Linked DNA regions of Medicago truncatula. The protein of the gene in region 1 binds, or shares a complex with, the protein of each later gene. Links are inferred from orthologs where the notes say so. Each region holds a gene or a part of one and is shown in the gene's direction. Other genes may lie near its edges.

Region 1 (7,773 bases):
TGCCTTCCCTTGTTTTATGCATTGGGAGAAATTTAATTGGCTAAAACTGTTTTTGGGATAAGTTCGGGATAAAGTTTTTCGGGATGAATATCAACTCTCTTAAAAAATATAAGACTTTATATTATGTTTGTTATAGTTTTTGTTTTTTTACATTAAAGACAATGTCATTAACAATATATCAAATGGCAAGAGTGTAGAAATACAAACGGAAGTCTTTTCAATTCATACGCGATCCGGATTATGAAGAACATATTTAGCTAAATAATGAACAGTTTGGTCGGATTCACGCTTAATATGCAAATAGTTTAAACTATGAAAATATACATTAAAACTAATACAATCCTTAATAATAGAGTGAACATGTGTGTGCGATTGTTCATTCAACATCAAAACCAAATTATAAACATATGATTATGCTATAAGATTCAGAAAAGACATGTCTTTCGCAGGTACCAAACTGATATGTGCTCCGGTGTAGTGGATGTTGAATCTTCACGGCAGAGGAGAAAGGTGTTTGTCGTCACGTTAACACTCCAACGTTCAAGTTAGTATTTGAGAGAGGTGGCGTTATGTGTAAAAAAGTGGTAAAAGTAAAGTGTACCTTAAGGGTGATGCTGAGTTTGATTGTAAGATGTTCATGTTTTTTATGTGTCGAAATTTTCCGGTTGGAGGGTTGTTTGTGGTTGATTCCTTCTCCAGGCCTTAATGATGTTCCTTCATGGCCCCTTAGAGCATCCACAATCGAGACAACAATTTTTTGGTTCTTAAATGGATCCCGCGTGTACACATCACTCATTTATAATTTTTTAATAGTAGTATCTAATAAGCATTCAATCCCTCCAACCCAGATCTCACACAAATTTCTTAAATGAGACATATTAATCAACTACCAATAACTTTATATCATTAATTACATTTCAATTTTTTAATATTAAAAGAGTGTGAGTCCCGCTTAAGATTGGAGGTCTTAAGTAAGACCTCGGGTCTTATAAAACAAAGAAAAAGTTTTTCCCCAATAAAAATACATAATAGATACCGGATCTTAAATGTTTAAAACCCTCCTATTAAAAATGGTCTTAGTCTAACTTTTTTTAGGATTGGGTTTTTGATGCTGGTCCAGGTATAATATTATTCCTTTTTTTCTTCTTCCAAGTATATCATGGCCCCTCGGTCAAACTTCTTTATGATGAGTTAAAACAAAGTATATGTCAAGTTTGATATCACTTAATTTTATCATTTGCTTTTATTTTTCCTCTATATCATTCTGTATCAGTTAAATAACGTATTTATTTATTTTTAAAAATAAACAGGTAAGATTTTAAACGTCAATTATTTTGGTCCATACAAGCGGAAAGACGAGCATGTTGGTGTCAATCATTACACTAGTGGCAAGGATATTTGAAAATGGAAAAATTAATATTACAAATTTTACATTCCTTCATTAAAAAATAATAATAATATGCATGAATTACATTTTATTTAAAATGTTGACAAATAGATAAAATAATATTTAAAACAACTATTAATTATTAAAATATTACTTATTTTGTAAGTAGGACCAAATAGTACATATTTAATTACTTCTTTTAAACTCGTTAGTTGCTTAGGAGATAAAATCCTTACTTCAATGAGAAGCCTTAACAGGGAGTGATCCTTGTTAAGTAAAGACCTCCCATTAGAGATGCTCTAAGAGCATCAATATCGATCGTAGTATATGTATATATGAACAGAGCGTGTCCGGAAAAACACCACTAATTGAGTTTTTTGGGTGGTAAATAGTTGATCCCGTAGCACTGCATTGATACGGTAGCTTTGTCTGATCTTAATGTTCTTTTATAATAAAAAGTGCTTATGATGTTACTTTTTTGAATTAAAATGATTTAAGAAATATAATATAAAATATATTGTAAGATGAGTGAGACCTATTTTAAAATTTTGGAAGAGTGGTATGGATATTTAGAAGATATAGTTTAGTGGTTTAAATAATTGGGAAGTGTGAAATAATATATTGTATTACGTGAGACCCATTTATACCACTCATATGGGTGGTATGGATGTGGATGCTCTAAGTGACTCAGTTGACTTTGTCACACACACCAATGTACAATTTTGATCTTAAATAACTTTACTAATCTATTAGAAAAAATTATAAAATTTGATATTTTGAAAATATTCATCTAGACGAATCTAACAATATCTTATATGATATTATTTATTTTTATATATCAGTAGAAAAATACAGTCAAAGTATGTTAGATCAATAATATAAATTTTTAAATAAATCATCTATTATAGGATGGAGGGAGTATTTATCAGAAAACCTTTTGTGTGACCATACACATTATGCTAAAACTTTCTCGTAGTGAAACATACAAAGAAAATTGAAGTATAAAACTAACGCATTTCGGTAATCAGAAGCAGAGAACAAAACACATCTGTGTTTATTGTCATTCCAAACTAGGCTGATCAAAGTTAGTCCCTCTGAATTTGTAATTTGGAAAACTTTGTAACAATTTCAAAACTAAAATATCAAACTTTCCCTACAACCAAATTACTTTAAAACAGCAACACTAACATTTGTGATGCCAAGAAAACAATGATATAATAAATCAGTCTAATACTCCCAATCATCATTAGCATATATATGTATCTTCAAAATTGTCCACATACTCCATCCGATCACATTTATAAGTAAAATGCAGCTTTTTAGATACATTGAATAATTAATGTATCTGACATATAGCCTCGTGGTATTGACTTGGAACCTGAAAGTGTGCTCCTTCTTGATGTCTCAAGTTCAATTCTCTCCGATACCAATTTGGATGAGCTAATTTAACTTCTTCAAAATAAAAAATAAAAATGTATTTGATATACAAATGTGACTATATATATATATATATTAATTATTTAATTTATCTAAAAAAGTGTTTTTTCGTATAAATATGACCACCATCATCATAATATAAAAAGTGCTTTGGAGGTCGTAAATCTTTAATTTGCTCGTGACACCTTTGTTCTAAATTTTGACTCAAAGAAGCACACACGTGCAAATCAAGAAATTCAAGAAGAGGGCAACCATCAAGAATGGCAAGGAACCCAACACTGACGAGAAAAATTCCTAACAATTTAAAACGGTGTAGCCCAGACATTGTTTTAGCATTAACAAATATCACATCATAATATTTATTTATATTGAAAAATGATATTTGAATGGTCATTTTGTGATAATAGGTGTGACAATTTTTTCTCTTATACCTACATTGTATTTTTTATTTTTCTCTTTATTGTTTTGGTTCTTCTACCAATATCTACATTTCTTTATATATTTTGATTGTTTCAAATGATTGTTCAAATAATATTTCTCATTTATACTTTGACGCAAGGGTAAATCAACCTACAAAGAATTAATGATTTCAAACAAATGCAACATTGGCCAATGACTTCAACAGAATCCTTGGATACATTGTTCCTAGATGTAATGTTAAGCTCCTTCACAAATTCACTCAATCCTTTATCTGAAATTCTTATGTAGAAATTGTCTTAATTGACTTGTCCTGTAAAATATTAAGAGTAAGATGCTGATAATATATGATTCATTTGAGTTATGGGACGAATAATATTAAATTAAACTATAATTTAGAGTGTGTAGTGTATAACCATCATTAAACTATAATTTAGAGTGTTGATATGATACAAACAAGGATATGAGCTGCAATGAAATGAAATGAGATTAGAAATTGAGTCCAATAAATTAGGGAGGTCTAAAATGATCATACTACACTTAGGAAGTGGAATAAATTTGTTGCCATTTAGTGGTGACTCATTAGTTTTAGAAGATTGATGACTCACTAGTTTATTGGAAAAAATCTAAAACAATATTACTTATAATATAGAGTAGTGATATTTGTACACCTTTTCTAAATAACTTTCATGACAACTTTGTTTTTTTCTATTTTGATTGATCAAAATCAATAGAGAGAGAAAAAGGCAGAGAGATAACAAGAATGTAATGTGAGTATGAGAGAGAAAGTTGTTCAAAAGTTATTAGAAATTGGTTGTACAAATATCATTTCTCTATAATATATTATCTCTATTTTATAATCATCGATGAAATTATAATATTTTCTCCATCTATTATTCTTAAAAGGTTCTCATTCTATGTTCTATATCAGAGGAATTATCTTTTACATATCATTTGGTGCTCTTAACAATGATACAATCAATATTGTCATTTTATATAATAAAAAATTAAGTCATAAGTGTTTTTTGAAGTAAAATTAAGTTAATAGACGAATTTTATATATTTACCAAAAATATAATAGAAAGAAATTGCAAACTTTGTTTACTTTTTTAATATAATTTTCAAGGATAGTAGATTTGATATAGTATAGTTAAAAAACAATTCATGAGTTTTATTTAATTATAAATTATAAAGTTGATCCATCAAATAAAAAATAGTAGTAAGCAAAAACAAAACAAAAATCCTTACCCACACCACACCACACCAATCAATTTTGAAGAGATAGGATAGAAAAGAAGCAAAACTCTCAAATTTTTCTCTCTGAACCAAAAAAAAATAAAAAAATGGCTTCACTCTCTTCAACACTAACACCAACTTCAACTTCTCTTTCTTTCTTCTCTTCTTCAATCTTCATTTCTAATTCAATTCCCAAATTGAAATTCACTCCAAATTCAAACTCAATTTCACATACTAATTCACTTTCCATTTCTTGCAAACTCGCCACCCTTCCACTCCTCTCCTTCTCCGGCGAGAAAATCGGTGAATCAACTCTCGACGTCAAATCCGCCTCTCCTTCCACCTCTCGCGCCGTCGTCCACCGCGCCATCATCCACGACCTTCAAAACAAACGCCGCGGCACAGCCTCCACCTTAACACGCGCCGAAGTCAGAGGTGGTGGCCGAAAACCCTACAACCAAAAGAAAACCGGCCGAGCACGTCAGGGTTCGATTCGTACACCTCTCCGACCCGGCGGTGGTGTGATTTTCGGCCCGAAACCAAGGGATTGGACTATTAAGATTAACAAGAAGGAGAAGAGGCTTGCGATTTCCACTGCGGTAGCGAGTGCGGCGGTGAATACAGTTGTGGTGGAGGAATTTGGAGATGAGTTTGAGGGGAATGCGAAGACGAAGGAGTTTATTGCGGCGATGAAAAGGTGGGGATTGGATCCGACGGAGAAAGTTACGTTTTTTATGATGGAGGTGAAGGAGAAAGTGTTGTTGGCTAGTAGGAATATTGGGACTTTGAAGATTTTGACGCCGAGGACTTTGAATTTGTATGATGTTTTGAATGCTGATAAGATTGTTCTTACTCCTGATGCTGTGGATTATTTGAATGGTAGGTATGGTGATAGTGAACAAGATGATGATGGTGATTATGTCGAAGAGGATAGCCAAGAAGGTAAATCATTAGTATTATAATAGTATTAATGATGATTAGTGATAACATTGTTAATCGTTATATCTTGAATTATTCATCCTTGTTTTTCGAATAGTATAGTACATTAGTACTAGTTCAATATTGATGTTGCCTTCCGTAAGAAGCGTCGGTGCTAGCGTGCTATAGTCATAGACCTAGATTTTAAATTGAAGTTGCGGTTATGGTCGTGTGCAATTGTTGATATGTTGACAACTGTGGTCAATTTTAGATGGTACTATTGTGGCCGTGGGGACATACAATTACAAATTCGGATGTTGTGATCACAAATGTGGGTGGGATAAGGGTTTTAAATAGTGTTTACAGTAGAGATCCTTGATATTGCGGCCTGTGTGGCTTCAATTGCAGTTGCATTGCGTTTTTGACAACATCAAAGACCGTTATGGTTATGTAGCCCCCCAAATCTCAGTCGCAGACCTTTATTTAAAACTATAGTTGCAGATCTTTTAAAATCTTGGGCATTGCGTTTTAGATAGGAGTTAGTTTGGATAAACTTTTATTGAACATGGAGAATGAAATATTAAAAGAATTTGACAATGATTGTGTTTTTTTAAAAAATAGTTTCTCGAATAAGTTGAAATATGTTTCCATTTCTCATGATCATCCAATTGATCATGCAATTTTGTAAAAAACTTATTCCTTAAGCATTATAGTAGCTTGTAAATTTTTTTGTGAAATGAGAGAAAATTAACTTATTTGAATTGAAATGTTTCCTTTAGGTAGAAATCATTTCAAATTTGGTTTAAGTTGCTGATATTTGAAAATGTTTCATTGAGGTAGAAATCAATTCAAATTTGGTTTAAGTTGCTAAATGGATTCTCAAGTTAACATTCTGAAATATGAAGGATGTTACTACTGATGTAATTGTTTATTTTTTACATATATGTTAAGGCTCTGAACTTGTTTTAATTTGAAGATTATAAGTAGTTCACTTATTTGGAGTCATTAACCATGGTCATAAGATTAAAGTTCAACACTGTTGTTTGTTCAACTTGTTGTATCTGCATTGTGTAGTCTTATTTGTCATTGGCTTTAGCTTTAACTTTGGAGCTGGTATCTTTAAAAAATTATATTCTTGAGACTATTGAAAAGAAATGAAGTTAGTGCACTGACAGAGTAGAGTCACCTAAATCTCACTGACTCATTTTGATAGTTGTTTAGTATTGTGCATGTGTGTGTGTATGGACATTCATGTTGGTGGTTGGGTTAAACTTAAACTGCACATTCCCTCTGTAACTTTTGAGTTGCTTATTATTGTGGAAGAGTTTAAGATGGGTCTGAGTAATATAATAGGTTTCTGACTTGATTGCTTTCTTCTATTTGGATACAGGACCAGACGCAGAAGAAAGTGCCGATGCGGTGAATTGATGATTTAAAGTTGTTTGCACGGTTGTATCGTATCATTTTATAGAGGATATTGCTCATACAGGGTATAGAAGGTTTGAAGTCTTGTTTGTACCAATGTATTTGCTTTTTTTCCATTCCATCACTTAGAATCCAAATTCAAGTAGCATGTAAGGATATTTCTTTATCTCATTTACAATCACATTTTGTTGTAACCTAGTAATTTTTTGAATCAATTTTGTTGCTTTGTAGTCTCTTTTGTGCAGATGCATGTAAATGGATAAGTCAATTGTTTTGAATCAATGTTGTTGCATGTAGTTTCTTTCTTCTGAAGAAGTTGTATCTGGTTACTTCTTTTCTTGTACTGCTTCTACTTAATGGATAGACAAAAATCTAGAACATGTGATGCTTACATATTCTTAAATGTGCTATTCCTAAACCCTAAAAAGAAGTTTGTTGAACTCTCATGCCTGTTTTGAATGACTTTCCTGCCATATACCTCATAAAGTCTTCCCATTCAACCATGTTTTACACTTTGAAAAGGAAACCATTTGTAAGTTAGAAGAAGAAAAACAAAGAGCAAATGAAGTCAAGAAACATATTTCCCAGTCAAACATCAACTCCTAATTTAGTTAAAACAAAATTAATAGCTTATTTTCCTCTCACCGTTGGTGTCATATTGCTTCATTGGTGATTCTTCCTTCCATATTATTATTATTATTATTATTTATGATGATGGTATTGATAGCAAGCATAGAGAAAAATATATTTAAATAATTGGAGAATTATAAATCATATCAGAGTTTTTTTTTTTTGGTTACAAAATCATCTGAGTTAATATTGTTTAGGTGCTAAACTTCTGCGAAATTACATATACTATCTTTAATATGAAATTTATAGGCACATGATACATGAGAAATTCTTATATGGTCATAGGACTAAAGAAAAAGTGTTTGGTCACACACACATAAAGA
Region 2 (6,603 bases), on another chromosome or scaffold:
TTTCCCAATGATCACGTCAAAAGTTGTACTATACTGATAGAACCTGATAATAAAACTAAGTATCGCTGTTACTGAAACTAAACAGAGGGTGTGTACTACATAGATCTCTGTGAACAGGACAAGGAAAATAAGGAATGACAATTGAGCGGTAGGCTATTTAAGGTGCCTATCAGTGATCCTTCCCTTACCATCCTGTTGTTGCAACTGAAAACCCAACACATTCCATTCCTTTGTTACCCTCATCTCTCTCTCTCTCTCTCTCTCTCTCTCTCTCTATATATATATATATATATATATATATATATATATATATATAGGGCATATCAAGTGAGAGGAGTAATTATAATGAGAGATAAGAGGATTTAATAGGAGCCCTTAGATTAAATTAAATGGCTATGATTAATTCACTTGTTAAAAAGATAACATGTCCACCCCGTATCGTACACTCACATCTTCTTTTTCCGTCCTCTCATCTATCTGCATCATCCAGATACCAAAACCACCGCTTGTGTAATGATTGCAGCTCAAGGGTAAAAGATTACTCTTGCTCCATTTTCTATTTGCAGAATGAAATTGAATTTTGATATCTATAATTTAAAAATAATATTTTTGAACAAATTAGGGATTTTTGCTTCACCGATGTTGAAGCAATTCGATATTTTGAATTCAAAATCTTTAATCTTCCTTCATCTCGTTCGTGTTCTTCATCATTCGATGGTAGTAAAGTTGCAAAGTGAAATCTGGTTGTCTCTATGTCGTTCGATCTGGTTGTCGCCAATGTCTTTCCGTCGTCGCCATGTGTTAGATCTGGTAGCTTTGTTTTCTGTGGTTGTAATTTCTCAGTTAAAACAGAAAAATTATTTACTAAAAATCAAATTGATTTGCCAACATTCAAATAATTAGCCAGTTCCTAAAAAAATAGAGAATGTGATGTATCTTCAAAACTTCAATGAAACTGCGCAGCACACAGCATTTCAACCGAGGGAGATAAAAGAGATTGTGTGTGAGTGCATGTTTAATGACTAACTTAATACCTTCCATTGATATTAATCCAACGACTGTCAATTGATCCTCTCATCTCTCATTATAATTACTCCTCTCACTTGATATGCCCTCATATATATATATATATATATATATATATATATCAAATGAGAGGAGTATTTAGTGAGAGGCGACAGGAACAAATAATTACCCTCAGATTAAAATGAACGGTTCACGTTAAAAGCTGCACTTTAAATTGCACTTAACATGCTTAATTATACCACCGCACGTGTATTAACCAACACAGAGAAGAAAAGGAAAAATACACTCAGATTAATCGTTCATGTTCATCCACCGTCGTCTTCCCCAAAGCATCCACACTCAAAAGAAGACATCAAGCTGCTGCCAGGATCGTGTACTTCTGATACCAGTTGATAGAACCTTGTAAGATTCGTACTAATACTGAACAGGACTTATTTATTAATAAAACTCTGGGAATAATCCTTCCTTTTGAGTTGGTTATGCATTGAAAACAGAAAATACAAATGAAATTGAAGGAGGAAAGGGAATTGCTGTGAACTTCCACAAACTGCTAGGAAACAAGGAGCCTAGTCTTTTCCAACCAACCAGTTCAAAATAACCGAATGCCACCTGCTCTCCCTTACTCTATTTAAAACATACAACTAAATTAGGATTGGCCATTTCTATCGAGCCTGCACCTAACGTACACATTCCTAACAGTATGCCTACGAACATTCATTAAATGAATGCCTTTCAGCATGCTGACCTGAAGAGCATGGGGATTATGAAGCATTCCCCAACAAGCTTTAATTAATAGCATCATTGAAAGCCTTTTAATTTTCCAGCATTTATGACAATTTCAGCTAGTGACATGAACTTTTTCTCAGTTTTTTTCTTTTGGTAATTTTCTTACAATTTCTTTGTGCCAATTTACAGGAGATCAACGACATTGCAGATATCCAAGAATGAATGGTTCACCAATGTTGAGGGGTATTTGTTTCTAATGAATAGGTGACTCCAGATGCTTTGATTTGTCGTGCAATACAGTTACAAAGCTCGCCATCAGTTAGCTTTTCTATTTACTGGGAACCGAAAGGTTGAAGAAACAAATAACAAGTTTTGGAAGCGCCATAACAGTGATGAAATAATTGTCTCTACTCACTTATTTGGCCTTGTACCTTTCTAGCTTTTAGATAAAAAAAAGGCTTGATGCTGAGGTAATGAATAAAAAAGTAAAAGTGATTGTTTTCCTTGATACTACATAGTCTCATCAATTGTTTACTGTACAACGAGTTGGACCACAGAACAGACATTTTTTCATCCTATTTAATTGGAAGTATTATATTCGGCATTGACTTATTGTTATATACAGACGGTACAACAAAATCTTACTGTTTGTACTTTTTCTTTCGTCTGATGTTGCACCCTCATTCATGTCTATCAAACATCATAATCTGTGTAGGAATGTTTAATAACTGTTGCTGATTTCGTAATGGTTTCTTTTGAAACTCCTAGAGATTAACTGATGAAACACGGTGTTTTGCTAGTTTATCATGCATAGATACACACTTCAGTTCACACCCACCTACTTAATGCTCTAGCCTAAGGCTAATTGTAGTTGTGTGGGAAGGTTGAACTTGAGACTGGCTCAACAAAGCCAATCCTGTGTTATGATAAAACTAGCTTACCCAGGTATGTTTGTTTGCATGTCTGGTTTTGTATTCTCGTGTTCCAATGTGTGGTTATGTGTGAAATTACATTCTGTGGAGTGTGTTTTGATATATGAAGGCAGATACTAAACAAAAATGGAAACATATATGCATGGTGATACTTCACGGATATTTATAAGATACTCCATTTTTATTTTTTTTTGAACAAGCCAAAATGTAATTAAATTACCAGAAGTAATTCATCTCGCACAAGGTGTGCAAAAGAGAATCACTTAAATCAATACAATGTCAGTTCACCGGTGGCGCAAACGCAACCAGCATGGTTTCAGATCCAAAAACAAAGAAGATTACATGAATATACCCATACAAGACATAGGGTGTTGCCACCAGTCATGATAATTGAAAGCAAACACATGTAGTTTGGCTTTTAGCCACTGGAATGAGAGTAATTTCACTCAATGTTATAAGATACTCCCACACAAACTATGTTATAAGATACTCCATTAATACATATCCTAGAAAACATTAAGGTTAAAAAAGACAGAACACGGGAATTTAGTGGAGATGTCGATGGTTTAACTCAATGTGTGAATCAATACATTTGTCCATTGGTAAATCAGATTTAAAATTTATGTTACTTTTTTATAAATGATGGTGAAGAGAGAGAAGAGACTCCATCCGTCAAAATTAAACAAAATTTATTGAGTTATTTTAATGATATTTTTGTGGAAATATAGTGAATAAACTTATTTTTCAAAATTAAATTTAAAATACAATTATAAGAGTGCAATAACTCTTAGACTTAAATTTATGCAATATAGTTAATAAAACTATCAATTTAGTCTATAATATATTAGTCTCTCTTCATTTTCATTTTTAAGTATAATAAATAGTTTTAAAAGTATGTCATATCCGTCGATTTTATTCTTGCTAGGAAGATCTTAAGACTAAATTGACATGATTTCATATATTTTAGAGATTAAATTGATGGATTTAATATACTTTAGAGGTTAATTTTTATTTTGTATATACATTAAAAACTAAATTGGAGAGAGTGATTTTTTTTGGCTTAAATTATTTGTAATATATTGTAAGGAGAAAATTTAGGTACAATTTCTTATGTGTTTTTCGTATGATTCTTAACTATATTCACCATGATTTTCTCAAATCCATAATTTTCTCAAAGTTTGTTATATCCAAAAAAATATGTATTTTTAGTTAAGAACCATATGAAAAATACCTAAGGAATTGTATCTAAGTTTTCTCCATATTATAATACTAGAAAGAAAGTGAGGTTGATTGAAACAAATACATTTAGTAATGAAATAAAAAGTGCTAAAATATATTTTTATCATTTATCTTTTACCAATTATTCATTTATTTTGGTCATATAGATATTTTATTCTTTTCTCGTATATTTATCAAATATAACTATTTGTCTTGACTTGTCAAAAAAAGTCTTGAAAGATATAAGACTAAAACGAATAAAATAAAAGAAGACGAAAACAAATATTAGATTAAATATGGAAAATATATTTTAAAAAATGTTTAAACATGGCTATGAAATATAAAATAAATTGTAAACAAGTTTCTATCTGAACTATCATGTTTAAACATTTAATCATATATTATGCATTATCTTTACCAATCAAACTAAGTTCACGGGACAATCAATTGTTAGCTTTAAATTAATTGAGAACAATACGTGAATTGTTGTTCGAGAAATACATAGTTGATTTTGCGGAAACACAAGTGGTAGGGATCATGGATTTTAGTTTTTCAGAATGTTAGAATTTTAGTAAAAGAATAATTAAAATGATATAATGTTGTGGTAATTAAAGTGTATATGTATAATCCTTTAAAAAAGATGTATATGTATGACTTTTGATTATTATTATTTTTAACTAAATGTGTAACATTTGGTTGATACTATGTCACAATTTAGAAAAGCTTTTTGTTGGCTAACTTTTCTTTAACAACATGAAGCCAATAAAAAAAAGTGTAAAAAGTTAATTTTAATTTTTTTTAATGGAGGGTTTATTTAAAAAAAAAAAATGAAATTGGTGCGGGGCGGGTCGGGTATTGAAATGAAATTGGATGGAATAAGATAAGCTTTGCTGTTGTTGCTGTTGTGTTTCATTCTCTTCTCTTCTCTGTCTCTCTCTTGAGATAGATAACATAAACACAGTCGAGCGTCGTCAATTGATTCAATATGTCTATCATTTCTTCTCCATTCTCCATTTCAATACCTTGTTCTAATTCTTCTTCTTCTTCTTCACTTTCCTTCTCAACTTCTTTTTCTGCTCAATTTGTGAAATTGCAGCAGCACCAAAGAAAAAGAGGAGGAGCGATGGTGGTGAAAATGAGCTTAGAGGCTGGTGTTGGTGTCATGGGTACCAAATTGGGAATGATGAGCTTTTTCCAACCTAACGGTGAAGTAGTTCCCGTCACTGTTGTCGGTTTCAAAGAAGGCAACATCGTCACTCAGATCAAAACCGACGCCACTGACGGTTACAACGCCGTACAAGTTGGTTACCGGAGGGTTAGAGACCGCAAATTGACCAAACCTGAAATGGGTCATCTTGAAAAGGCCGGAGCCATTCCTATGCGCCATCTTCAGGAGTTTCGTCTTCAATCCGTTGATGGTTTTGAACCTAATCAGCGCCTTGTCTTTGATGAGCTTTTCAATGAAGGAGATCTTGTTGATGTCTCCGGCACCACCATCGGCAAGGGTTTTCAAGGTCTGTAACTCTCTCCCTCTCTTTGCATTCCCTTCTAGTGTCCAAGTTAAGTTGATAATAATATCTATCACTAATGTATGAACTTACTTTGACAATGACAGGTGGTATCAAGCGTCATAACTTCAAAAGAGGACCAATGAGCCATGGTTCCAAGAGTCACAGACAACTTGGATCCATTGGTGCCGGAACTACACCTGGTCGCGTATACAAGGGAAAGAAGATGCCTGGTAGGATGGGTGGAACTAACAGGAAGACCAGAAAGCTTAAGATTGTTAAAATTGATAAAGATCTTAATGTTATCATGATCAAAGGTGCTCTTCCTGGTAAGCCTGGTAATCTTCTACGTATAGCCCCCGCCAAGATTGTTGGCAAGAACATTCCAAAGAATTAATTACTCTTTTTCCTTCTTAACTACTTGTCTGTATTCACCTGTTAAGTACGAAAATAACAATCAAAACAAACATTTCTCAGTAACTGAGATTGGATGCAATGTTATAATGTTTTACAATAAATCATGTCTTAGGCAGATCATTTTTTTTCACTTATTGGTTGGTTTGCTATTTGATCAATTTGATGGTGCAGCATGAAGTTCATGGACACAAAGGAATTGGTCGTTCTAAACTCTAAACTAGAACTGGAAGTTTTTAATGCTATTAACTTTTTCCTTAACCCTAGTTGAATTTATTTTTAATGCATCTCCCATTGTTGTCATGGGCTTAACAAGGAATATTCTTAAGTTTCTGTTCAACTGATATATAATGTATTGAAACTCTCTTGTTTGTCTTCAACAACCACTGAGTTCCTGAGTTAAACCAAACTGTCTTAAGAGACATGGCCTCTGATATGCTTTTTCCTATAAATATTGCTTTATAGCCATACTTCCAACAGCATACAAAATTTAGATGTTAATAAAGCTTGTACTTGTCATGAAAAAATAAACAACCTTCACCCTCTAATGCCTCCTTTCTTTTTCCATTTCCACTTTCACTACCAACATCACCATCACTCTTGAACCAAGGTAGTGTGATGTGTCTTTGAGCTCCCTTTTCAATGGAGCTTGTGGTAGAAGGAAGAAACATGGAGTTTGGTAGAAGATAACTTTGATGGGAATAGAAAGTGAAGTTGTCCTTGTCTTTTCCATGTTGCTATGTTGTTTTGAAACACATCACTGCATCAAAACACATGTC

What was found.
Region 2: 50S ribosomal protein L4, chloroplastic (region 1) and 50S ribosomal protein L3, chloroplastic share a complex: the UniProt entries of both Arabidopsis thaliana proteins name them as parts of the 50S ribosomal subunit. The link is inferred for Medicago truncatula from reciprocal best matches to the Arabidopsis thaliana genes RPL4 and AT2G43030.

What each region holds. Positions count from the first base shown.
Region 1 is NC_053049.1:1,016,115-1,023,887, forward strand, and holds 50S ribosomal protein L4, chloroplastic, read left to right. Parts: upstream 1-4,506; 5' UTR 4,507-4,584; coding exon 4,585-5,419; intron 5,420-6,785; coding exon 6,786-6,823; 3' UTR 6,824-7,132; downstream 7,133-7,773. UniProt on the Arabidopsis thaliana protein: This protein binds directly and specifically to 23S rRNA. May play a role in plastid transcriptional regulation.
Region 2 is NC_053044.1:58,753,164-58,759,766, forward strand, and holds 50S ribosomal protein L3, chloroplastic, read left to right. Parts: upstream 1-4,805; 5' UTR 4,806-4,887; coding exon 4,888-5,416; intron 5,417-5,517; coding exon 5,518-5,807; 3' UTR 5,808-5,961; downstream 5,962-6,603. Other genes in the region: UTP--glucose-1-phosphate uridylyltransferase, read left to right, coding at 1,942-1,974. UniProt on the Arabidopsis thaliana protein: One of the primary rRNA binding proteins, it binds directly near the 3'-end of the 23S rRNA, where it nucleates assembly of the 50S subunit.